Nothobranchius furzeri: one gene and its partners. The protein of the gene in region 1 interacts with the protein of each later gene in a biochemical or structural test. Links are inferred from orthologs where the notes say so. Each region holds a gene or a part of one and is shown in the gene's direction. Other genes may lie near its edges.

Region 1 (4,243 bases):
AATCGTGCACCAAAACAATTCCTAGAAAAAAAAAAAACAAAAAAAACACAATTTTTAAACTACTTGCGATGTCTGTTTTGTTTAAACTTGTAAGTGTACCTCCTGTACCGTTAACAGAATTGTAAAAGACGGCTCTTGTGCTTTTGATACTGCTTGCGCTGCCAACAGATCCTCCAACATCCCAAAGTTCAATATAGAAGGTTTTCTCCTCGGGGGTTCCCTCTTTGTAGTCATGAATCTATAAGTGAACAAATGTCATAAATCTGCATTATACCAGCGACAAATTGATATGTTAAAATTAACCAACTGTACTGGAATAAAGCAGCTATTACAACTGGATTATTGTGTGATGACAGAATAAACCACTGAGGTAAATTTAACAAGGGAAAATACAGATTATTTTTGTTGACGCTGACACAACCACTATGCAAAAGTTGACTGAACTAAAGAAATACAGATGAGCTTACCCGTACATCCACAGAGCAGCCAACAGTCCAAGATGGGTTCCCTAAAACCTGATTATGACACAGAAGATGAACTAAGGAACTCTTGCCGACGCCTAAAAAAGACAAATATGTGAGAACAGAGCTGACACAAACCAACAACTCCTGTGGCAGTTTCCTGTATTAGTTTTGAGTGTGTTTAAGAATCCAGTTTGCTAAGAACTATCAACAAATACATCATGACGGACTAAGACAACATTAAGTTTAAATAAAATAATATTTATAGTAAATCCTTCCAACGTATGACCATCCAAAGGCATTTAAAAACTGAACCAAATATAATAACACTAAAACAAATGTTGTGCTTTCTTTGAAGCATCTTGCTTTGAAACATCGTCTATCACAAATTAACTCGTTTGTAACTTTAAAATAACGTCTCGTTTTTCTTTATTTTTTTATTTTAAAGAGTCTGACTGAGTTTGCCTTTAATTTGGGCACATTTCCCAAACACTTGGCTCCGTTTCACTTGATTTATCTCGAACTAAGTGTCTTCTTGCAAACAAATGTCCTTTACTTGGCCAGTAATCTAACGGAAGCTCTTTGGATTTAATCCGTTATTTCATCAAAAATAATAATGAGTTTATGATGCGTTTTGAATTACCCGAATTTTTGTTTTGCAGCACAGCTAAGTCATGATTGACGATTTTAACTCGATAATTTCAGCCTCTAAGATATTTACAAATGAAAGAAACGCATTAATATTAAAGACGCATTTTTAAATGTACAAAAGTGTAATATGTGATGGGTCAATAGGTAAACTACTTAAGAAACTTACCAGAATCTCCTAAAACTAGTACCTTAACCCTGTCAAGAGACGCCATATTTTTTTTGCTAACGTCAGAGTGAACCGGTACAACAACATCTAAGCCCCTCCCAGAAGACTAATTTCTGGATATCGGGATTGGTCAAATTTAACGTCACTCAAGAAACCCTCTGGTTCCTGTTCCGGTAAGCGCGAGACAACTCGTTGATTATCAAGGTAGCTAGCTTGACGTTCAAAGAAAATCCAAGTTTGCTAAAGTTTTCTGTAACTTTTAGTTGTGGCAAGTTACTAGTAGTAAACATCAGGTTGAAATGAGTTAAGGAGCGGTTCAAGTATCCGGGGTGGAACAGAAGGAATACAGGTAAGACTTGGTGGCTGCTAGCTTGAAGCTAGTCTGGCTGCTACCTTTGGTTTAGAATTCAAGGCTAGGAAACTTGAAATGTTAACATTCACGAGCTTTTGTGTGGAGAGTCTAAAGTTAAATAGTTAGGCACAGACTAGTTTCACGGTCATTTAGCTGTTTTTTTATCACTATGACGCTTTTGTTAGTTGCTTAACGTTAAGGTAATAAAGTTATTGGTGAAAATGCCTCTAGTTTTGTATATGTTGTGCAAAAATTGGGGAATATCAAAAGCTTGAATCCATTCATCACGTATTAAGGTAATTTATATGTTTAAACCTCAATATGGGGAAAATACTGAATGAAATAAAGCTTTGATCAGTTTTATTTTAGTGAGCAGATGGATCATGCTGGCACTTTTAATTTAATTTGTTGGTTAATTTCGATTTTATTCTATCAGGGACATTATCAGTGTTTTATATTTGGAGCCGTGTTTATAATATTTTTGGCTATCCGTAGGAGTTTAATGGTTAATTTGCTTGTTATTGAACTTGCAAACGGTTGACATCACATTTTCATCATAAAGGGAGTGAGTACCATGTGGATGAACAGTCACACATTTGACTTATTCTTTCTCCTGAAAAAGCACCATCTTTTTGTTTATGTGCCCAAGAAAACAACTCATTAGCAGTTTTAATATTTGCGTTTCCCTCCACAGCCCAAGATGATTGAGCCAGAGCTTCTAACCGAGGTCCCTGCTTCACTGAAGAGGCTAGCTAAGCAGGTTGTGAGGGGATTTTATGGTGTAGAGCATGCCTTGGCCCTGGATGTGCTCATTCGCAACCCTTGTGTGCGGGAGGAGGACATGCTGGAGCTGCTCAAGTTTGACCGGAAACAGCTGCGCTCTGTGCTCAACACTCTGAAATCAGACAAATTTGTAAAGTGCCGCATGAGAGTGGAGACGGCCCCTGATGGCAAAACAACGCGACACAACTACTATTTTATCAACTACAGGTTTTAGGATTCCTTAAGATTTTTTTTATTTAACTTGACATATGTTGGATTTATAAATATAGTGTTTTTTTATTTTATTTAGGCTATTGGTCAATGTTGTAAAGTACAAACTGGATCACATGCGAAGACGCATCGAGACGGATGAGCGAGACTCTACTAACCGGGCCTCCTTTAGGTGCCCCTGCTGCTTCTCTACGTTCACTGACCTGGAGGCGAATCAGCTGTTTGATCCTATGACGGGTACGCTCTCATGAATAATCATGTTCATTGTTTTCATTAAGCTCAGAAATGTTTTTTTCTTGGTAGTTTTGTGAAAATCTTCTAGGAAACTCTGGTAAATATTCAAGCTAAAATCAAGCCAAATCTGTTCACTGAATATTGATATAAAATATCAAATGGTTTGCAGTTTGATTATTTTGATTGCATTCTGAGCAATTTGCCTCTAGATGGCAGTGAAGGCAAATGCATTTACTAAATCAAGTTCATGTACAAAGCCATTTTTTAAATATTTAGTACATTGTTTTAATGAACGGAGCTATTAAACTTTACATACAAACTTTAAATTATGTCTGAATGAAAATAAGCTCCAATTGGTGCAGAACTCAGCTGCACGCAGCCCTGTCCTCCAGCAGCTCTACTGGCTTCCTGTTAACACATTGAATTCAAAATCCTTCTCACCTTTAAAGCCATCCATAACCTTTGCCCCATACCTGTCTGACCTCATTCACATCGTCTCTCCCATTCATTCCCTCAGATCTTCCGCTTCTGTTCCCTCATTCTGTCTCAGCACTATGGGGAGCAGAGCTTCATCTGTTCTACTCATTTCTGAAATTCTCTCCCTCAAGCCGTCTGTAACTGACTTGCTCTCCACCTTTAAACCTAGACTCAGGCCCTGTCCACACGTAGCCGGGATCTGCCAAAACGTAGATATTTTTCTACGTTTTGGCCTGTCATCCACACGAAAACAGAGTTTTTTCACACGAAAACTGAGTTTTTTCACACAAAAACGGATCTTTTTAAAAACTCCGGCCAAAGTGAAGATCTGCGTTTTCTCCGTTTTGGGTGTCTGCGTGTGGACAGACAAAACCGGAGTTTTAAGGTCTGCAACGTCACTTTCCGCGACAAAAAATGCTGACATCACGTGTGCGACCTGTGTTTACACTAGCCGACAGCATGGATGCCCTCAGAGCTGCGCTCTGTCACTACCCGATCCATCAATTGTCCAAGCGCTTTTTGCTTGTTTGTTTTTGCAAGTGGAATTACTGATCCTTGCAGAAGACCACAGACGAAGGACGAGGTTAAGAACGGGGGAAGTACTGCCGCCTACAGGTCTGGCATGTCCTTAACAACGTATTTATCCGGGTACGTGTGGACAGAGTTTTTTTTTTTAAATGAGGTGGTGTGGATGCAAGTTTTTGGAGGGGCGGATATTCGTTTAAAAAAAACGGCTACGTGTGGACTAGGCCTAAAAAACTCACTTATTTCCAACTGCCCTGATGTTATTATCTAGTTAGTATTTTTAATGTTCCTTTGTATTTTTTGCTGTTTTTAACCTAGTTTCTTTGTGTTTTTGGCTATAAAGTGTCCTTGTGTTTCTTAAAATAAATAGATAAAAAGCATTCT
Region 2 (2,165 bases), on another chromosome or scaffold:
ACACAAACGTTCACCTGTTTCGTAGTGCGGAATGTATGAAAGGCTTGATCCAGTGATGTTACTCAATCAGAGAACAAGAGCCAATCAGAGAACAAGAGCCAATCAGAGAACAAGAGCCAATCAGAGAACAAGAGCCAATCAGAACAAGAGCCAATGAGAGAACAAGAGCCAATCAGAACAAGAGCCAATCAGAGAACAAGAGCCAATAACAGTAAGTTAGAAAAACACGAGTTTTTTTCTTAACTGTTATTTACAAAAATGTGAATCTTAACGGACCGCTTATATCGGAGACTTTTAATGCCGGCAGATATAATCCGATACTGTTTTTGGGCCGATATTGGATTACTTCCAATATCGATATTGGATAACTTCCAATATCGATATTGGAAGTTATCCAATATCGGAACGGGACATCCCTAAATTCTGTTTCAGAAGAGACCAGGCTCTGTTAGTGAGGTGGTGCCTCATAACTATTCATCTTAATATTAGTGATCATGATAATTAATAACTGTTGATCACTCTTAATATTGCTAATAAGCCAGTGGTGGAACAGTTGTTTAACCTGCTGTACGGAGAGATGAGGATGATAAATAACCCAGTAGACCTGACCCCTGGTTCTGGGTTGGTTAAAGGGAAATCCAGCTGGGATACACATTACATTCAACATGTAGAGGAAGAGAAAGGACAGATAAGCCACTCCCACTCTCTCTAGGCTGAACTTGTCTCTGCTCAAGGCTGCAGATTTCTGACGGGTTACAGATGATGGACCTGCTGTATGCTAGCGCTAAAGCCGAGCGCTAGCAATCACATTCATATGAACTCATTAGCAAACCTAGCTTTAGGTGATGTACACGTTTCATTGGAAAGTAGCTCCTTATGTCCTCAACCTTCAACGGATTTCCTGTCCCACGTAAAACGGTTGTTCTAAGACACAAACTCATTTGCATTTTTAGACAATGTTCTAGAAATGACTTCATGTTTTCTCCTTTAATGTAAAGCATTGCTACAGTTTACGCTTGTTTCAGTAACTATTACGGAGGAGACAGAAGGTTTTTGTCCCTTTGGGGGCTCCATAGGCTGGGCAGACACCCCGACCATCAGTTGCAGTGCCCTCCGCTCGACTCGTCTCCATGAATCCTGGGAAAATCCCACCTGGGACATCAGCTCCAGCTCCCAACGTTCTCTAACCGTTTCCTGTTCTTCCACAGAAATTGGTGACATTGCCGGCGTGGCAGACGTCACAATCAGACAGTCTTACCGACTCATCTACCCACGTGCCGCAGAGCTTTTCCCCCCAGACTTCAAATTCGACACACCTGTGGACAAGCTGCCCCAGCTGTGAGGAGTCGTCTGGCTCAGGCGGCGTTCCTCTGCTGTACTCGAGTTTTTCTAGCTTTTTATTTCCCTTCTGGACTTGAACAGTTTTCCACTTCCAGCCCGACGGCAGCAGACATTCCAGTGCTTAAACAGCTTGCAGACTGTACGTACAGTATCGTGTGTGTGTGTGTGTGTGCTGTACCGTGTGTGTCCAGATGAGCGATGCCACTGATGCTTGCAGGTTTAGGCTGTTTTCATACTGTAAACATGAGGCTTTTGTTTTGGGGATTCAGGTTCTATTTTGTTGGAATTGTTCCAAGTAATTTAAAAATAAACGATTTTCATGAATTTAATAAAACTAAAGTCTCGTTTCCAGCGACGGGTCCCAGCTGAGCTCTCACTGAGAACAGACGTCCACCCAGACGTGAACGGGTGATGTCATCACCACACGGGCTGCAAAAACGCTTTTATGCACCAAGGTTGTGATTAAGTCATTTATGTACCATTCATACAGTTTACATCAGACAACATGCACATAGATAAAAAAACATTTTGTACAATCTATTTGCATAATGAAGAAATGTAGATCCTGACAACTATTGCTAGAATCAGTGCTTTCAGCTCGACTGCATCCACATGTTGTGTAAATCAGCTCCTCTGCGGTGAGACGGGACAGCGTACGAAGAACTTTAACGGATTTAAATGAAGTTTTGGTTCAGCTGGAACTTTACTGCTGATTTCTGACGTAATGAAATGAATCAGTGACCAGTAGGGGGCGCCAGAGGTTAAGGAGTCTAATTTCCGGTTCTGTTGCGGGAAGCCGCAGTGGTCCAGATGTTTGTGGAGGT
Region 3 (4,094 bases), on another chromosome or scaffold:
ACACGTTTAATTGCGTTTATTGGTGTGGTTTAAATTGTTATTGGAAATTAAGAAGCTGACTTACGTTTTATCAGATATTGGCAGAAAAAGTGATATCAAACATCCCTAAAATTTCATCTTTAGACTCTTAGATACCAGCAGACTGTCCAAAAACACAAAGTTTGATTAATTTCCTGTTAAATGTATTGATCTGTTAATTAAATCAGAATTTTAATCCCAACAAGGTGATTCTGGAAAAGCTTGTGGTCCCAACCTGACACGCAGTCAATGATCAACAGTAGGATCATCTACATCTCAGTCAAGACTTTGCTGGATTTGACTCAGTCTTTAAAGACAGGATTGTTTCTGTTTTTGACCTCCACTTGTCCGTTTTCTTAGATATTTAGCACAAACTGCACATTATGCAAGGTCAGATACAAACAATAAGCTGAATTTTTAACAGTTATTCTAAGTATTTGACAGAGCAATAAACAATGGTTCATACAAGACCCATAAGAGTTCTTCTACACCAAAGCCAGCATTTGTGTCCTGAAAAGTTGATGATGTGATGGCAGCAAGGACTGAAGTGTGGCTAGACTGCTCTCTTCTCTGCTGCACAGCCACATACTGTCAGTCACATCTGTGAGCTGTCAGACCATGAATGTGCATACATCTGAGGGGGGTGAGGGGTGTATTAGGCATGCTGATCCTTCACACTCCTCTTGTCAAACTTAACATTAAAATGAAAGTCAGTGGTGAGTGTTCTGAATGTGTGTGTGTGTTGACGGGTGAGAATTTGGGCATTTGAGACAGAAGACAAGTAAGGTCAAAGGAGCCGTGCCTAATCCTGTGGGATGTTATGGTATCTTACAGTGAATGGTGATGGGATGTAGAGATGTGCTCAGTGGTGCATGGATCACAAAAACTTCCTAACTGACAGAACAGGCTCCCAGGAGACCAGTGTCAAAACTGGTGGATGAAAAAAAACAAATGGAAAATGGCAAATTGCCATGAGATTTGTGTTGTCTTTCCTCTAAATCAGAAACATGTATTTCATCCTTTATTTTAAAATAATAAAAGATTAAATAAAGGGTGAAATACATTTTGATTTTTAGTTAGGTGACATTAATTGGGACTGAACAAGTCACAACAATTCCTACATAGTTTGTATTAAATAACTGTTTATATTTTAAATCATTCTGAACGTGTTCTTTCAACCAAAAAATTGCACATCTTTTGACATTAAATTGTTTTAGCCTGACCAGTAGATGGCGCAGTTGCTCAGTTTTAAAGCCTGACACCTTTGCCCCGGAAGAAGTTTTCTGGCCCTTTAACCAGACCAAAAGATAGCTTACTGCTAGCTACCATGGCGCTTGATGTAAAAATCAGAGCGAAACGATACGAGAAACTGGATTTTCTCGGAGAGGGTCAGGTAGGCAGAGAATTATTTCAAAGTTTTCGATATCTACTCTTCGTTTCGCTCACTTTTATTATTTTTGCTTTGTTGTTTAACGTTTTCAGTAACTTGATAACAAGCGTTAGCTGGTAGCTAATGTCAACAAAGCCCCAGCAGCTTCGGTGTGATCACACTAGCTCTAAAAGCATTCAGCGCGTTGTATGCTCTCCTTTAATAACCTTTCTTTCATCTCTTCAGTTTGCCACAGTCTACAAAGCCAGAGACAAACTGACAGACACAATAGTTGCCATCAAAAAGGTACAAAAAAAGTGAAGTTTCTGCTTTAATCGGACACTGTGGTGTTCGGGGTTAAATTTGATTATCTGCTTGTTTTCAGATAAAAGTTGGTCACAAAACTGAAGCTAAAGATGGTAAGTCATAGTCACACCTGTGCCCCACACATACCAAACACTCGTGCTGTATCTTATTGAAAATAAATGTTCTTTTCTTGCAGGTGTAAATCGGACTGCTCTCAGGGAAATCAAACTGCTACAGGAGCTGCATCATCCAAATATCATTGGGGTACTCAAACTATGTTCATGCATTTATGTCCTCTACATTTCCAGTAAAACATCTGGAAAAATCAACCTAATTATTTAATTTGGGTAGATGTGTGTCTGAACGTTTAAGAGGCACTGTGTGTTTGATCAGGCATCTTGGTATTCTCGTGTTATTAATTTGTTTCTTTTAAATGCAGTGTTGGTTATTTACTGTGCTATGTGTTGTAGCTGTTGGATGCATTTGGACATAAATCAAACATCAGCCTGGTGTTTGATTTTATGGAAACAGACCTGGAGGTGAGTTGCCTCCTGTTTTTGATTATATGCACAATTATCCCTCTGATATTATTACTTCTGAATATGATGAAGTTCCGCATTAATATAATAGAACAGTGGTTTCCAACCTAGGGTCTGGGACCCCCCATGGGGGCCTGCTCAGGATTGCTGGAGGTCCCCACAAATGTGTCTGTGCTCAGGTTGTGAGAATACCAAGGTAGTTTTTGTAAGAATTACATTTCTAAAATCCAAATGACACACCCAAATGTATAATCAAATATCTGTATGTCTGTGTAAAGTTTTTAATTAATCATTTTTAATGTGTGGATGCTGGAAGAAGTTGTGGTTGGGGGTTCTGGCTCATCTTGGATACAGGCAAGTGGGTCCCCATGGAAAGAAGGTTGGGAACCACTGTAATAGAACATTCATACAGCTTGTTTTTATATTTGCACTAGATTTTTTTCCCCTGTAATTTAAGTACTATTAAATGGTCTTCACTAAGTCGGGTTAGGGTTAAATTAACTTTAGTTCTGTATATCCAAGTATCATAAGCAATCAGCGTGTAAAATAGCTCTCCCATTTAAGGCTTAATTTTTGGTTGAGGGTTTAAAGAACAAAAAAGTCTTTAAAAATTGATTCAGTTAAACATTCCCCAGGATTTTGGTGAAAAGGTGGTTATGATTGCACTTTTTTATACAAATGAGTAAGTAATGAAAGTGACTTCTTTACAGAATTGTGGTCTAATTTTGATTAAAAAGACAATAATCATGGTATTATAAAATTGTATATACATGTGTTGTGTCGGGTTAAATTCGTTCTTCTTCTTTTTTTTTTTTTTTTTTTTTTTTTTGCATTTGTGGACCACTAGTAATCATTCCCTCAATGACTTTTTAATTTTGGAATTAAATAAAGAACATTTGTGATGTTTAAGGTTTTGTTTAGGGAGAAACGTGTAACATAAGGATGTGTGCTGCAAGATCAAATGTCTTTACAAAAGGAGCAACTAAAATGAAAGTAAAATTATTCTTTCATGCTCCCATTCTCCTTTTTCATTCCGTTTTAACGTGCAAGACTCCAGACGGACGCACACCTCAGACACATTAGACTTTACTGATGCAATAAAAAGACAAAAGTGCTTCCAAATAATCAATATCACTCTCTTCTTGGCTCAAATACATTTATGCCATTAGCAGCTGGCAGGCAGCAGTTAGGGGAGGCATGTGTGAATTATGAGGCTATTCTTTTTCAATAATGTTGTAAACATTTTTAGGTTCAGTCAGTTAATGTTTAAACTATCAGCTACAGATGTTTAGTTTTACGGACATTTTGGGGATTTGTCGAGTAGTTAAAGTGAAGCTGTTTGGTCTGATCTCAGTTCTCTAAAGCTTCCTTGTGTGGGTCAGATAAGCATATTTTTTGTTGTTTTGCTTAGATTTTTTTGTGTGCGTTTTATTTTTTCAGGTTATCATCAAAGACACAAGCCTAGTCTTGACTCCAGCCAATATTAAAGCCTACATCCTCATGACATTACAAGGATTAGAGTACATGCACCAACATTGGGTCCTACATAGGGTACGAGCACCTAAACACCACTCTGTCGTATTCTGCAAATGCACAGAGGTGATTTATTATTTAGAATTATTGCTTCTTTTTTCCTTTATACGTTCAGGATTTGAAGCCCAACAATCTGCTGCTAGACAGTAACGGAGTGTTGAAGTTGGCTGATTTTGGATTGGCCAAAGCTTTTGGAAGCCCCAACAGAATCTACACTCATCAAGTTGTTACCAGGTCAGAGCCGCTGCAGTAATGACAACGATCGTTTTGTTGGCTTTAATCTAATTTTACAAAATAGAATTTCTCACCTCTACACTAAAGATCAAACA
Region 4 (3,973 bases), on another chromosome or scaffold:
GAATTACATCTGACACACCAACACATTTTTAACAAGTTTTATTTAACCAATGAAGCTTACAGGCTTACATAAGAGTCAATATTTACAGTTGAATTCTGAGCATGACAAAAAAAAAGCAGGTGTACAAACAGAAACAATAATATTAACCTAGCTCAATATCAACCTGCAGAAATCATAACAATATATATCGATAAAGATATATATTGCGTTAACCACAAGTGAAAACTATCCCAGAAATTTTTGGTAAAGATGCATGTGAAAAATAAATGTATCTCAGTTTCTATATTAGAAGTGCAAAAGGCACAATCGTTCTCTCCAATATTACATTTAGACTGCAAGGACACACCAGCACATCACAGCTACTTCCGATGCTCCAACATACTTCCGATGCTGCTATTCCTCTCGGCTCACACCGAACACTCACCGTGAAACCTTCTCGCGTTTAGGAAGACACGACTCGTAAACGCAGGATGAGGGGTTTCGTGCCAAACACACAGTCCGGGATACAAATCGGTACATAATTGTGTTTAGTAATGTCCTTCCACGTTTCCGAGTCCCCTTCGTTTCTACAGCATGAAGCCTCCCCTTGAAACGTAAGACCAACATTCGTTCCGGTGTCGTGCCGAAAGACGCTCCCGCTCATTGATTTGAATGCTGAATTTTCAAGTAAAAAATGAACCCTTGTGTTTAATTTTGGTATATACATCTGTTTTCACAATATGCTTTTTTATTTGAAGATAAACAGCAATTATAGGTACTTCAATACTTTTCCATATCATTAATCCGTCATTAAACACCGCGGTAAACATAAATACCACATTCAATTATTTGTAGTTTGTTAAGGTTGTTGAAAAACACAGGAAATTTAGGTCCGTCTGTTGACTGGATGGCATCCTACAGACTGTGTGCTTCTCGTGGCAGGGGTGCATTTACGAGCACAACACCTGTCAGAATTGTGCCAAAAATAGCTGATCCTCGCAGTAAAGTGGCTTTGTTCGTTATGATACTGTGAATAAAACAATATTACATGTGAATACTCAAAAATAAATATTCAAATGTGTTTGTGTCTCTGGGCTGGATATGAACAATCGATTTGGACATAAAAGAAATTGCCAGCTGCTTCAGCTGTCAACGTAGTCTCGCGCGATTTCATAGTCTGAACGTGACTCAAAATGGCGACAGAATACTAGCGCTAATTCATAAACGGATGTTTCAGCAGCAGTCCGTGCTCAACTTAGCTCTAAACATTTAAAGATGGATTTTAACAATGAAAAACTAGCTCTACGAAAGTATTCTTGTTATAAACATTGATATTTTATGTTCGTTTAAACTCTCGCGTTAACCGAGAAAGACGTAAACGACTTCATAAAGGTAAAAAAAATGACCGTCAACGGCAGCTACATTATTAGCATAGAAGCTAACAAGCATCAAATTTACCGCAACTACTTGTCGTTATTAAAGACAATGCAGCACCCAAAGCCTACAGATTTAGACAACTTTGTGACGTGGTTAAGCTGAAGCGTTTGGCAGAGTGTAGGTTTATTCTTGGTGATGCTTCTGCTTGTTCTGTCAGACTGCTTACCCGCTCCTCGGAGCTCCGTCTGTTTACATGCATTAAGTGTTTATTTGAAAAACTTGAGTTCACATTTTCTGCAATTTTTCTTTTACATTGTGGAAGCAATGGTATCAAGACGTGTTAAGTTTAGTCGTGTTGTGATAACGTGTGTTTGATGTTTAAACATTTTAAGTTGATATAATTTATCCAGTAGAGATGAACGTCCTTCTGTTATTTTATTTGAGCTGTTGCTCTAAAATAGGGTTATGTTTTTGTTTATGTGAATAAGATTTTCTAAGCTTTGTTTTTATGTGGAATACTATAATTAACAGCAGTGTTTAACGTCTGATCTGAGCTGTCAGTATAAAAAAAGCTCCAAAGACACAAATATTGCTTTAGAGTCCAGTTTTTTGTAAGTGTTGTTGTTTTGTGCTTTTGTTAACATCTACCCACTTTCTAGTATTAATAAATTACTAATTTTAACAATCAATATTGGTACAAAAGTTCAAACGGTACATATGTACTACTATGTTGTCACAAGCATTGTTCTTTTTCTTGGTTATATGTCCTAAGGGAAAGTAGGAGTTGGACTTGCAGGGAGATTTTTTTTTATCCGACTCCGTCTAACTTTTGTCTGCCACTACTAGATAAGCTCTTAAAGCAATTTTTACCCTTGAATGTCTTTGATTCACAGTGAAACGCTTGTTGTGAACTGTTTAAGATGTTCTTGGGTCGATCCATTTAAGTTTCACTGTAGTGTTCTTTTATTTCAGACACATTACATTTTGTAGGCAGATTTGTTTTTGTGTCATTATTAAAACAATTATCAATGAGATTTTGTTAGATGTGGTCTTAAAATAAATGCATCAGTAGTAATGAACTGAAAACAGCTTAAGAATTCTCTTTCTAAGGTAATATGCATTACATTGTTGGTCCAGCACTGTAGTCTTTGTCGGAATTAACTCAGAACACTGTGATTGGGACTCATCAAATGTCTTCATTAATAAACATTATGTTGTCGAATTGCCAAATGATTAAGTAAAGAAACTCAGCATCGTACTGTCTCGTTTTGTTATTTCAGCCATGGCGGAGGAACGCAGGCAAAAGCAGTGTTCAGTCGTTCTGCCAACAGAGTCGATGAAGGCCATGGCGGAGTCTGTGGGAGTCGGGCAGTTACAGGAAGACAGTTGTGTAGCTCTTAGTGAAGAGGTCAGCTACAGAATAAAGGAAATTGCACAGGTAAATTAATGGTTATTAATGTAGGTGTTATAATTTGTATGATGTGTGAATTATTTAGTGCTTTTTTGATATTTTTCTCTTTACACAGGATGCTCTGAAATTCATGCATCATGGGAAGAGACGAAAACTAACCACGAGTGACATCGACAATGCTCTCAAACTAAAAAATGTAGAGGTAATAAAGAGCGCTTATTATACCCGAAGGATGAATTGGGTGTGAATTTTCTGTTTTAAGAAATTTGTTTCTTTTTCAGCCCCTGTATGGGTTCCAGTCACAGGAGTTTATTCCTTTTCGCTTTGCAAGTGGAGGTGGAAGAGAGCTTCATTTCTATGAGGAAAAGGAGGTTGATCTCAGCGATATTATAAACACACCTCTCCCAAGAGTTCCTCTAGATGTGTCTCTCAAAGGTACTCGGATTAGGAGGATTATATGCTGTTTTGTGATATTAAATTAGCTCATTTATCAAATACATTTTATAATTTAATCTACAGCTCACTGGTTAAGTATTGAAGGGGTGCAACCTTCAATTCCTGAAAATCCTCCACCAGGTGAGCCCTACTTAGGTTTGATCTGTTATCATGGGAGAGGTTATAAATGTTAAAAACACTCAAGACTTTTTTTCCTACTTGTTAGCATCAAAAGAGCAACAAAAAACCGAATCCACGGAGCCGCTGAAAGTTGTCAAACCCGGTCAGGAGGAGAAAGGTACGATTCAAGGCAAAGGCCAGAGCACCACAACCCCAGATGGCAAAGGTCAGTGTTTATTTCAGTTTGCTAATAGAAGCTAGACACCTCTGTATCATGATGTGTGTTAACTTCACTCATGTCTTTGTGTCCCTCTGGTACAGGAAAGGAGAAGGGTCTCATCAGGCTGAAGCCACGTAGCACTCACGAGCTCTCTGTAGAGCAGCAGCTCTACTACAAGGAAATCACAGAGGCGTGTGTGGGCTCCTGTGAAGCCAAGAGAGCAGTACGTCTTACCTGACTTTCTGATGCATGTTGGCCAAATGTTCATAATTCAGTCCTGTAGCATAAAGGGATACTATGCAACTTTTTATAGTTTTGAATAATTTTTTGAGCCAGTTTGTGCCAAAACGATCCTTTACAGGGTTAATGAAATGTCACTCAGACCCCCACCGCCCTCTGTAGCCAGAATACCACATTTGCAAATTCAGAGT
Region 5 (4,255 bases), on another chromosome or scaffold:
ACAAACATTGATACTGAGGAATAATATACATTAACTAATATGTTGAACACTGTAAGCGGTGGGTGATTTTTTTAGGTACCCTAGCCTTGCGCTCTCTGTCTGCTGGTGTATCCGTCCAAATGGAGCGATCCTTGTTCTCTGGACCTGACCTTTTCTTGAAAGTACGAGCACCCAAACCAATGTGCTGCAGTTCTGGTGGGAGCTCTGTCATCCACGTTTCTCTAGTTACCACCTCTGGAACATCCTAATTACGCAGAGGACAAACAAGAACACATTAAGACACAAAGAAGAAACAGCCCCCTTTTATAATTTAATTATTATGAGGAGAAAAATGTTAGAGAAAAATTACCACTCTTGTTAGCTTATCTTTCATCCTTCGTGCCCTGCACTCAAAATCATGAGCAACAGAATCTTGAATCGGTCCTTTAGCAGGCATGGGTCCAATCACGTCCTCCTCCTCTCCCTCGCTGCTGGAGGGTTCGGGACAGTAGCCCCGAGGAAGGGCAGGTCCTGGAACAATTTCTTCCTCATCATCATCATCACTGTCATATTCAGTCCTGCAGAACCCAGGAGGCAGAGCTGGCCCCAACACAGGTGCCCTGAGAAAATACCATCACAAACAAATGTCACACTGTTATCCTAAACAGGAAGTGTCCTTACACGTGCTATTTATGTTACTAGAGAATATTGATGTTTCTGCTCACCTTTCTGGTGAATGTTGCTTTTTATATCCTGGAGGCAGAGCTGGTCCAAAGAACCCATCATCATCCCTGTTCAGAAACACATGTTAGTCAAGTTCGTTCTATTTCTTTTAACTAACAAATGAGACCAGAACCAGAACTCACTCTGCAGCTCTCCCAGTCTTGGCTCGCTTAGCTGCCACCTCTGGTTCACTTTCATCTGAGGAGCTAGACTGTTCACCCCGTTTATACCCAGGAGGTAAAGCAGGACCAGCAACTAGACGGCGACATAAATAAAACTGTTAGCTAAAAGTGAACAGAGCAACCCGAAAAGATCAATTGCCACAACACGTTAGCTTCTAACAAAACGTATCTTACAATCTTTTTCGTCAACGTCGTCCTCAGAGCTCTCATTTCCAAATATCGGAGGCAAAGCAGGTCCTATAATTTTATCAGAGGACATCTTTGCTAACAATTTCGTTACGTATTTTCAGGGGATATTAAACAAAACCTGTATTTACTCTATGGCTTTTAACCTAGGAAGTAAACAATAGAGCAGCAGCGGAAGTCTTCAAAGTGTTCTGCCAAAACAAATGCACCTGCTATTGTGATTTATTTTTAATTAAGATTTTAATAAACACATTTTTGAATAAGTAGTTTTAAAGCTTCGTAAATTGTATTAAACTATCGTAAATATAAGTAATAATCAACTGTACACTGTCTCTGTGGCAAAAACGGAAATATAAAAACTTTTATTTTGAAAGTTTTTGAACGGAAACGCTTGTTATTCAGAGCTCCACTTTAGTGCACAGTCTAGACATCGTTTATTCCTTCATATCATTTAAAGACACGTATTGTGTGTTTACCTAAATACATTTGGGACTATTTTTAAGACTTTACCCATGTAAACCTTTCAAAATGGGTAAAAAAGATAAAGGAGATCGAGGTAAGTTGGTAACGTTTCATTTTAATCTGCGTGGAGCTAGTCACCGAACGCTAACCTGCAATATACTAGCGCAAATACGTCTGAGCAAAATGTAGTTTTGATTCCATGGCATCTTAACATAACTACTGATTTTTAAAATGTTTTAGTAATGTTAATGATTGTTTTGTGGATCTGCTATAGAGAAGAAGTTCAAAAGACGCTACTATGAGGAAGATGACGATGAAGAGGTGACAGTCGGGGAGTCTCAGGAAGCTGTACCTGCTGCTGCAGGGAAGCAGGTGGATGAATCTGGCACAAAACTGGATGAATATGGAGCCAAAGACTACCGCGCACAGATGCAGTTGAAGAATGACCACAACTCCCGTCCTCTCTGGGTGGTATGATGCGTCATTGCTGCTTATAGTCACAGCTGTACCTCAGTAATCTCTTAGAGGTGAAATCTTGTTCTCACTTCTCTACAGGCTCCAGATGGACACATCTTTCTGGAAGCGTTCTCACCAGTATATAAGTATGCCCAGGATTTCTTAGTGGCTATTGCAGAGCCAGTGTGCAGGCCTAACCACATCCATGAGTACAAGCTGACTGCATACTCCTTATATGCAGCAGTCAGTGTGGGGCTGCAGACCACTGATATTATAGAGTACCTGCAGAAGCTCAGTAAAACATCTGTACCTGATGGAATCATCAAGTTCATTGAGGTCAGAGATAGACAGGATGTGATCCTATAGTAACAGTTTATTTTTTTGCTCATCTGTTGTATTTTTCTGCCTCTTTCAGCTTTGCACTGTGAGCTATGGGAAAGTTAAGCTTGTGCTCAAACACAATAGGTAAAGGTCTTTCGTCTCTCTCTGCAAAAACATTTATTTCTTCAGCGGTTTTATTCACTTGTGTTTTCCCTCTTCTAGGTATTTTGTAGAGAGCACCTTCCCTGATGTGATTCAGCGTCTCCTGCAGGATAACGTGATCCGTGAATGTCGTCTTCGCTCTGCAGATGGAGCAGACCCTGAGCTTATTACTGAAGTTGTCCACAGCAAATCAGCAGTATGTCATACTCCTTAAGGATCTGGATGTTGTGGGGATTTGTTGGTTGACGCAGCTCTGTAATATCTCGTGGACTTCGGGAGCAGTTCCACTGGATTCACAGACTGGGGTGGTGGTCCCCCTGTTTAAAAAGGGGGACCGCAGGGCGTTTTCCAACTACAGGGTGATCACACTCATGAGCCTCCCTGGTAAGGTCTATTTCAGGGGTTCTGGAAAGGAGGGTCCGGTGGATTGTCGAACCTCAGATTCAGGATAAGCAATGTGGTTTTTGTCCTGGCCGTGGAACACTGGACCAGTTCTTTAGGGAGGTTCTGGAGGGTGCGCAGGAATTCGCCCAACCAGTCTACCAAACCAGTGCTTTGTGAATGTGAATTTGGTGAAGGCTTTTGATTTTGTCCCTCAGGGGGCCCTGTGGGGGGTACTTTGGGAGTATGGGTACCAGGCCTTGTGATACAGGCTGTCAGGTCCCTGTATGACTGGTGTCAGAGCTTGGTCCACATTGCAGACAGAGATGGGCCATTCCCATCTGTACCGGGTTGGCCCGGGCCGGGTAGCGTAGGTTGTTTACATATCTGGGTGGCCTGGTATTTTTCCGGGCCAACCAAGGCTCATTCTCAGCCCTCTTCTCGAGGGGGTCTGCTTCAGGCCGACCAGGGCCAACACACCCACTGCTGACAGCAAATTCACACCTTCCATTAGAGCAAGCCTCTGATTGGTGGGTAGAATCAGCCCACATGGGCTTAAGACAAGGATGTTTGAAATCAACCGGGCCAGGCTGGGACCAACTGGGGCTACCCGGCCCGGGCCGACCCGATACAGATGGGAATAGCCCATAAGTTTGATCGTTTCCGGTGAGAGTTGGGCACCACCAAGGCTGCCCTTTGTCAGCGATTCTGCTCATAACTTTTATGAACAGGATTTGTAGGTGTAGCCAAGGTTATAAGGGAATCCATTTTGGTGTTCTAAGGATCAGATATCTGCTTTTTGCAGTTGATGTTGTCCTGTTGGCTTCATCAGAACGTGATCTCCAGCTCCTGGATGCCTCCCTGGTGAGGTTTTCCGGGCATGTCCAACTAGGAGGAGACCTGAAGGAAGACCCAGGACATGCTTGAGGGACTATGTCTCTCAGTTTGCCAGGGAATGCCATGGGATTCCCCTGGAGGAGCTGGCCCAAGTGGCTGGGGAGAGGGAAGTCTGAACCTCCCTGCTTAGGCTGCTGCCTCCGTGACATGACCCTGGATACGCAAAAGAAAATGGATGGATGATATTTGAATTTACAGGGGTTTGCAGAAGTTCAAAATAGAACTGAATGAAAATGTCACTGTGTTGAATGTTTTATTCTAGAGATGTATTTAGGAAATAATTAGTGTATAAAATGAAACATTTGGTAGATTTTTGGGAAACGTCTCCCATTTTCTTAAACTAAACCCCCGTTACGTAAAAAGTGTAAAATATTTATTTTTCCTATTACATTTCTCTTTTTTGGCCAGATTTCTAAGTTTGTTCAAGAAAAAGGAGACCCATCCACCTCACAGCAGCCTGTTGATGGACAGACCTCAAACCAGCAGGTCCCTGAGGACATCTTCAG
Region 6 (3,360 bases), on another chromosome or scaffold:
TGATCTAAACTTTGCATCCTGTAACAAAAATACAGCACAAGTAGGGCTGGGGGTAAACGATTATTTTTAAAACGATTATTCTGACGATTATTTTATCGAATAGTCGACTATTCTAATGACTATTTAGAAAATTAATCTAATGATTATTTTTCTATTGCACAATTAACAAAAACCAGAAAATCTCAAATAAATTCCTCAAAAAAATTGATAAATTGTTACTGTAAGAGAATAAACACTACAGGCCTTCCATTTTGTATAACACTGCTTTTATTGTGTTGCGGTTGGTTATGTTCTGGTGACGTGTAGAACTTGGGAGTGCAGGCTGCTGCCTGAGAGGTGGTAGAAGATGGAGTGTCTCCACGCTGCTTTGTTTTGGTCACTTATGTGCGTGAGGCGAGTGGTCTTACGGGTTAAACCAAACTCAAGGTGATATTTTACACTAAACCGAAAACCCACAACACTCTAAATGTAATAAAAGGGAGATCTACACCACAAAAAAGATTAACTCTAAACCAAAACGTAACAGCTTATCCCAACGCAAGAAGCTGTTAGCGAAGATGCTAACAGTAGCTTTACCAACGTTAAGTTCAAGTTACCAAGTTTAAATAAACCAAAACACCCAGCAGCAAACAGACCAGCACGGAGGAGAGACTGCTACCACCAAAACAGCTCTCCTAATGTCTGAAAGAAGCTCCTTTATGAAGGGAGAAACGCTCCCGGTGATTTTCTACATCTGCGATAGAGACGGAGCAGCGCATCTGACCCCGGAAGTTGTTGTCCGTTGCCGGGAGACGAAGGCGGGCAAAACAGGAAAATAATCTAGTAGTGGACGGACATTGTTCCGGGTCTTCGGTATTTGGCGGAGATGTTAGTGAAGGCGGAGAAGAGGGCGAACTAGAGGAAAAACAGGCAGATTCCTCCTCTATTTACAAACTCCTGGGGATGCAACAAGTGGGCGCGGTGCGTCGACTTCCGGATCTGACGTCGACAAATTTTTAGAATCGAGCCGTCGACGTAGTCGAGGCTTCGCTACAGCCCTAAGCACAAGGGGAAGCTTCTCTGTCATCCTGGACATGATCATCTTGAGTTGAACTGAAAATAGTAGAAGGCTTATAAGTTCTGGTCAGAAACACACTGACAAGTCTTGTATTTTGTAAAATGATTTTGTCAAAATTGGGCAATATTATTGCTCCTTTATTCCAGATCATGTAGCAAGTATAATAACAGCATTGATACATTTATGGCCAATCCATAAGCAGCAAAAAACCTGATCTGAGCATCGCTAATGTTTGCAAAGATTTAATTAAAAATGGTACATTTTTTTAATTTAAAATTCATATAATTGTGAAAGTCTAACTTGTGTTTTGTAGCTATGAACCGGAGCTGTTTCCAGGACTGATTTACAGAATGATCAAACCCAGAATCGTCTTGCTCATCTTTGTTTCTGGGAAAGTAGTGCTCACAGGTAAGGCCCGAGCTCTCAGACGGGTGTATTTTTAGATTCTAGTTAAAGTATCACCTAATAATTTGGCACATTGTTTTGGATCTCCTTTTATTTTGAAAGGATTGTAATTTTTTTATTTAAAATAGAACAAGAGATTCTGTAAGTTTTCTAGATTCATCTTGATACTGATCCATGTTTCAATCTTTTTTGTTTTTCCTGAAGGGGCCAAAGTGAGATCAGAGATTTACGAAGCATTTGAAAACATTTACCCCATTCTGAAAGGTTTCCGCAAAACGACGTAGGACCTGGGGTTTCTTTTCCACCTCCTGAAACCTGATCCTCTTATTTCATTCATTATTTAATGTCACATTTTTAATGAGAAGGTAGACTGATGCAGGTGTTGGGAGTTTTTTCATCCATCTTTCTGTCTTCAATTTTTTTAATCATCATTTTAAAGGTTGTTCTTTCACTCTGACCATGTTTATTGTGTCCTGTGGTTGCAGGTTTTTGTTGTCCCATCTCATCCCCAACTGTACATATGACTGTAAAAAATGTAAAGTGTTGTTGAGCAGAAAAGCAGTTCGACGACTAGGACTGCTGGTTTTATGTGAAGCTGTTTTAAATACTTTTATACTCTCAGCTGTTAGCATTTGTTGACCTCTCTTTAAATCCCCTGCTGTACATGATACTTGGGATTTTAAATCCTATGCTTACTCCCTTAAGGTAGAAAATAATCCTGATTAATGACTTTTTTTTTACACTCATTGGGAGTAGACGCCCATTAACTCAAGCTGAGCTAATCTTTATTTGACTGGCCAAGTTGTCCATGAATGTTTGCTGCTGCTAAACAGTTAAGTTGTTTAGAGGCGTTTGATAACTTTCGACTTTGTCTGGTTGAAGTCGTGAAACAATCTTTCTGTTGAAAGAGAGAACTGGTTTGTTGTGGTTACAGGAAGAAAGTGTTTAATGGTTAAACTTGAATGTGTGTATATGTTCTTCTGTAATTAGAATGAGAAGTGATGCCAATCTTAAAGTCGATGCAGCTCTTCAGCGGGATTTCAGTAGGCTCAATATTGATATAAGGGAAAAAAAGCTCTTATGATTAATATTAATTTCAAACCCATGCAGTATAGTTTTAAAAATGTTTTTGGTTGTTTCAAATCAGCAGAATTTTGGCTGTTTGGCCTTTGTCTAAAATTAAAACTCAAGTAGGATCACATTGAAGTCATTGCTGGTGGTCTTATGTGTTATACGGTCAGCTAGTGACGTTTATGGCAACTAGTTAAAAGTCTGGTTTATTTAGTGACATGTTCAGTCTCCATCTTTGTCTCTTCTGTCTGATTTCTGTCCTCCCAGCAGACTCGAAGAAGTTTGGTCCATTGTTTTCTTTTCCACCCAATAAAAGTGTACATATGACTCAAGTCTACTTGGTTTTCTTTGCAGCAACATTTTACAGCTGAAGTCTCTTGCGTAAAACCAAAAGTCACCATGAAGAAATAAACTGTGAAGACTAAAATACTGAATCCCTGTATAGAAATAGTTTAGGGAAAACCTCTGGGTAAGAGTTAAAACATGTTGTAGTTGGATGTTAGAGCTGCAGAAAATACATAATTTCTCTGAATATCTGAAATAAAGTAATTTGTGTATTAAACAATACAATCATTCTTACAAAAGGAATTGTGGCTTATTTGATACCCATCATAAAAAAGACAAGTCAGGATTGTCTCCCATGTAACATCAGTCAAAAGAGAATCATTTGTAGGTGATTATGTTGGAACTGACATGTCAAAATCATTAAATTTTAAGAACAAGGGTGGTATGGGCTTCTGGTCAGGATGCTTCCTGGACGCCTCCTTGGGGAGGTGCTTCGGCATGTCCTGCCGGCAGGAGGCCCCCGGGTCGACCCAGGACACGTT

What was found.
Region 2: the proteins of gtf2e1 (region 1) and gtf2b form a complex in vitro, tested with the Homo sapiens proteins (2 studies listed by BioGRID). The link is inferred for Nothobranchius furzeri from reciprocal best matches to the Homo sapiens genes GTF2E1 and GTF2B.
Region 3: of the proteins of gtf2e1 (region 1) and cdk7, one has a biochemical effect on the other in vitro, tested with the Homo sapiens proteins (3 studies listed by BioGRID, with this or other methods). The link is inferred for Nothobranchius furzeri from reciprocal best matches to the Homo sapiens genes GTF2E1 and CDK7.
Region 4: the proteins of gtf2e1 (region 1) and taf6 form a complex in vitro, tested with the Homo sapiens proteins (2 studies listed by BioGRID). The link is inferred for Nothobranchius furzeri from reciprocal best matches to the Homo sapiens genes GTF2E1 and TAF6.
Region 5: the proteins of gtf2e1 (region 1) and ercc3 form a complex in vitro, tested with the Homo sapiens proteins (2 studies listed by BioGRID). The link is inferred for Nothobranchius furzeri from reciprocal best matches to the Homo sapiens genes GTF2E1 and ERCC3.
Region 6: the proteins of gtf2e1 (region 1) and tbp form a complex in vitro, tested with the Homo sapiens proteins (3 studies listed by BioGRID). The link is inferred for Nothobranchius furzeri from reciprocal best matches to the Homo sapiens genes GTF2E1 and TBP.

What each region holds. Positions count from the first base shown.
Region 1 is NC_091754.1:12,358,441-12,362,683, forward strand, and holds the start of gtf2e1 (general transcription factor IIE subunit 1), read left to right. Parts: upstream 1-1,443; 5' UTR 1,444-1,627; intron 1,628-2,324; 5' UTR 2,325-2,330; coding exon 2,331-2,620; intron 2,621-2,702; coding exon 2,703-2,860; intron 2,861-4,243. Other genes in the region: rabl3 (rab-like protein 3), read right to left, coding at 1-21, 109-238, 468-559, 1,279-1,324.
Region 2 is NC_091751.1:71,399,246-71,401,410, reverse strand, and holds the end of gtf2b (transcription initiation factor IIB), read left to right. Parts: intron 1-1,208; coding exon 1,209-1,342; 3' UTR 1,343-1,665; downstream 1,666-2,165. UniProt on the Homo sapiens protein: General transcription factor that plays a role in transcription initiation by RNA polymerase II (Pol II). Involved in the pre-initiation complex (PIC) formation and Pol II recruitment at promoter DNA.
Region 3 is NC_091757.1:44,652,888-44,656,981, reverse strand, and holds the start of cdk7 (cyclin-dependent kinase 7), read left to right. Parts: upstream 1-1,294; 5' UTR 1,295-1,345; coding exon 1,346-1,411; intron 1,412-1,633; coding exon 1,634-1,693; intron 1,694-1,772; coding exon 1,773-1,806; intron 1,807-1,889; coding exon 1,890-1,957; intron 1,958-2,163; coding exon 2,164-2,232; intron 2,233-3,672; coding exon 3,673-3,783; intron 3,784-3,880; coding exon 3,881-3,999; intron 4,000-4,094. UniProt on the Homo sapiens protein: Serine/threonine kinase involved in cell cycle control and in RNA polymerase II-mediated RNA transcription. Cyclin-dependent kinases (CDKs) are activated by the binding to a cyclin and mediate the progression through the cell cycle.
Region 4 is NC_091750.1:47,772,845-47,776,817, forward strand, and holds the start of taf6 (transcription initiation factor TFIID subunit 6), read left to right. Parts: upstream 1-1,173; 5' UTR 1,174-1,371; intron 1,372-1,511; exon of another isoform or gene 1,512-1,533; intron 1,534-2,636; 5' UTR 2,637-2,638; coding exon 2,639-2,794; intron 2,795-2,882; coding exon 2,883-2,969; intron 2,970-3,048; coding exon 3,049-3,202; intron 3,203-3,286; coding exon 3,287-3,343; intron 3,344-3,428; coding exon 3,429-3,548; intron 3,549-3,643; coding exon 3,644-3,765; intron 3,766-3,973. Other genes in the region: mrps31 (small ribosomal subunit protein mS31), read right to left, coding at 425-519. UniProt on the Homo sapiens protein: The TFIID basal transcription factor complex plays a major role in the initiation of RNA polymerase II (Pol II)-dependent transcription.
Region 5 is NC_091749.1:40,321,580-40,325,834, reverse strand, and holds the start of ercc3 (general transcription and DNA repair factor IIH helicase/translocase subunit XPB), read left to right. Parts: upstream 1-1,455; 5' UTR 1,456-1,598; coding exon 1,599-1,626; intron 1,627-1,806; coding exon 1,807-2,003; intron 2,004-2,087; coding exon 2,088-2,324; intron 2,325-2,403; coding exon 2,404-2,453; intron 2,454-2,531; coding exon 2,532-2,667; intron 2,668-4,157; coding exon 4,158-4,255. Other genes in the region: gpalpp1 (GPALPP motifs-containing protein 1), read right to left, coding at 80-244, 350-599, 705-770, 846-957, 1,059-1,143. UniProt on the Homo sapiens protein: ATP-dependent 3'-5' DNA helicase/translocase. Binds dsDNA rather than ssDNA, unzipping it in a translocase rather than classical helicase activity. Component of the general transcription and DNA repair factor IIH (TFIIH) core complex.
Region 6 is NC_091749.1:35,004,844-35,008,203, forward strand, and holds the end of tbp (TATA-box-binding protein), read left to right. Parts: intron 1-1,370; coding exon 1,371-1,465; intron 1,466-1,666; coding exon 1,667-1,746; 3' UTR 1,747-2,860; downstream 2,861-3,360. UniProt on the Homo sapiens protein: The TFIID basal transcription factor complex plays a major role in the initiation of RNA polymerase II (Pol II)-dependent transcription.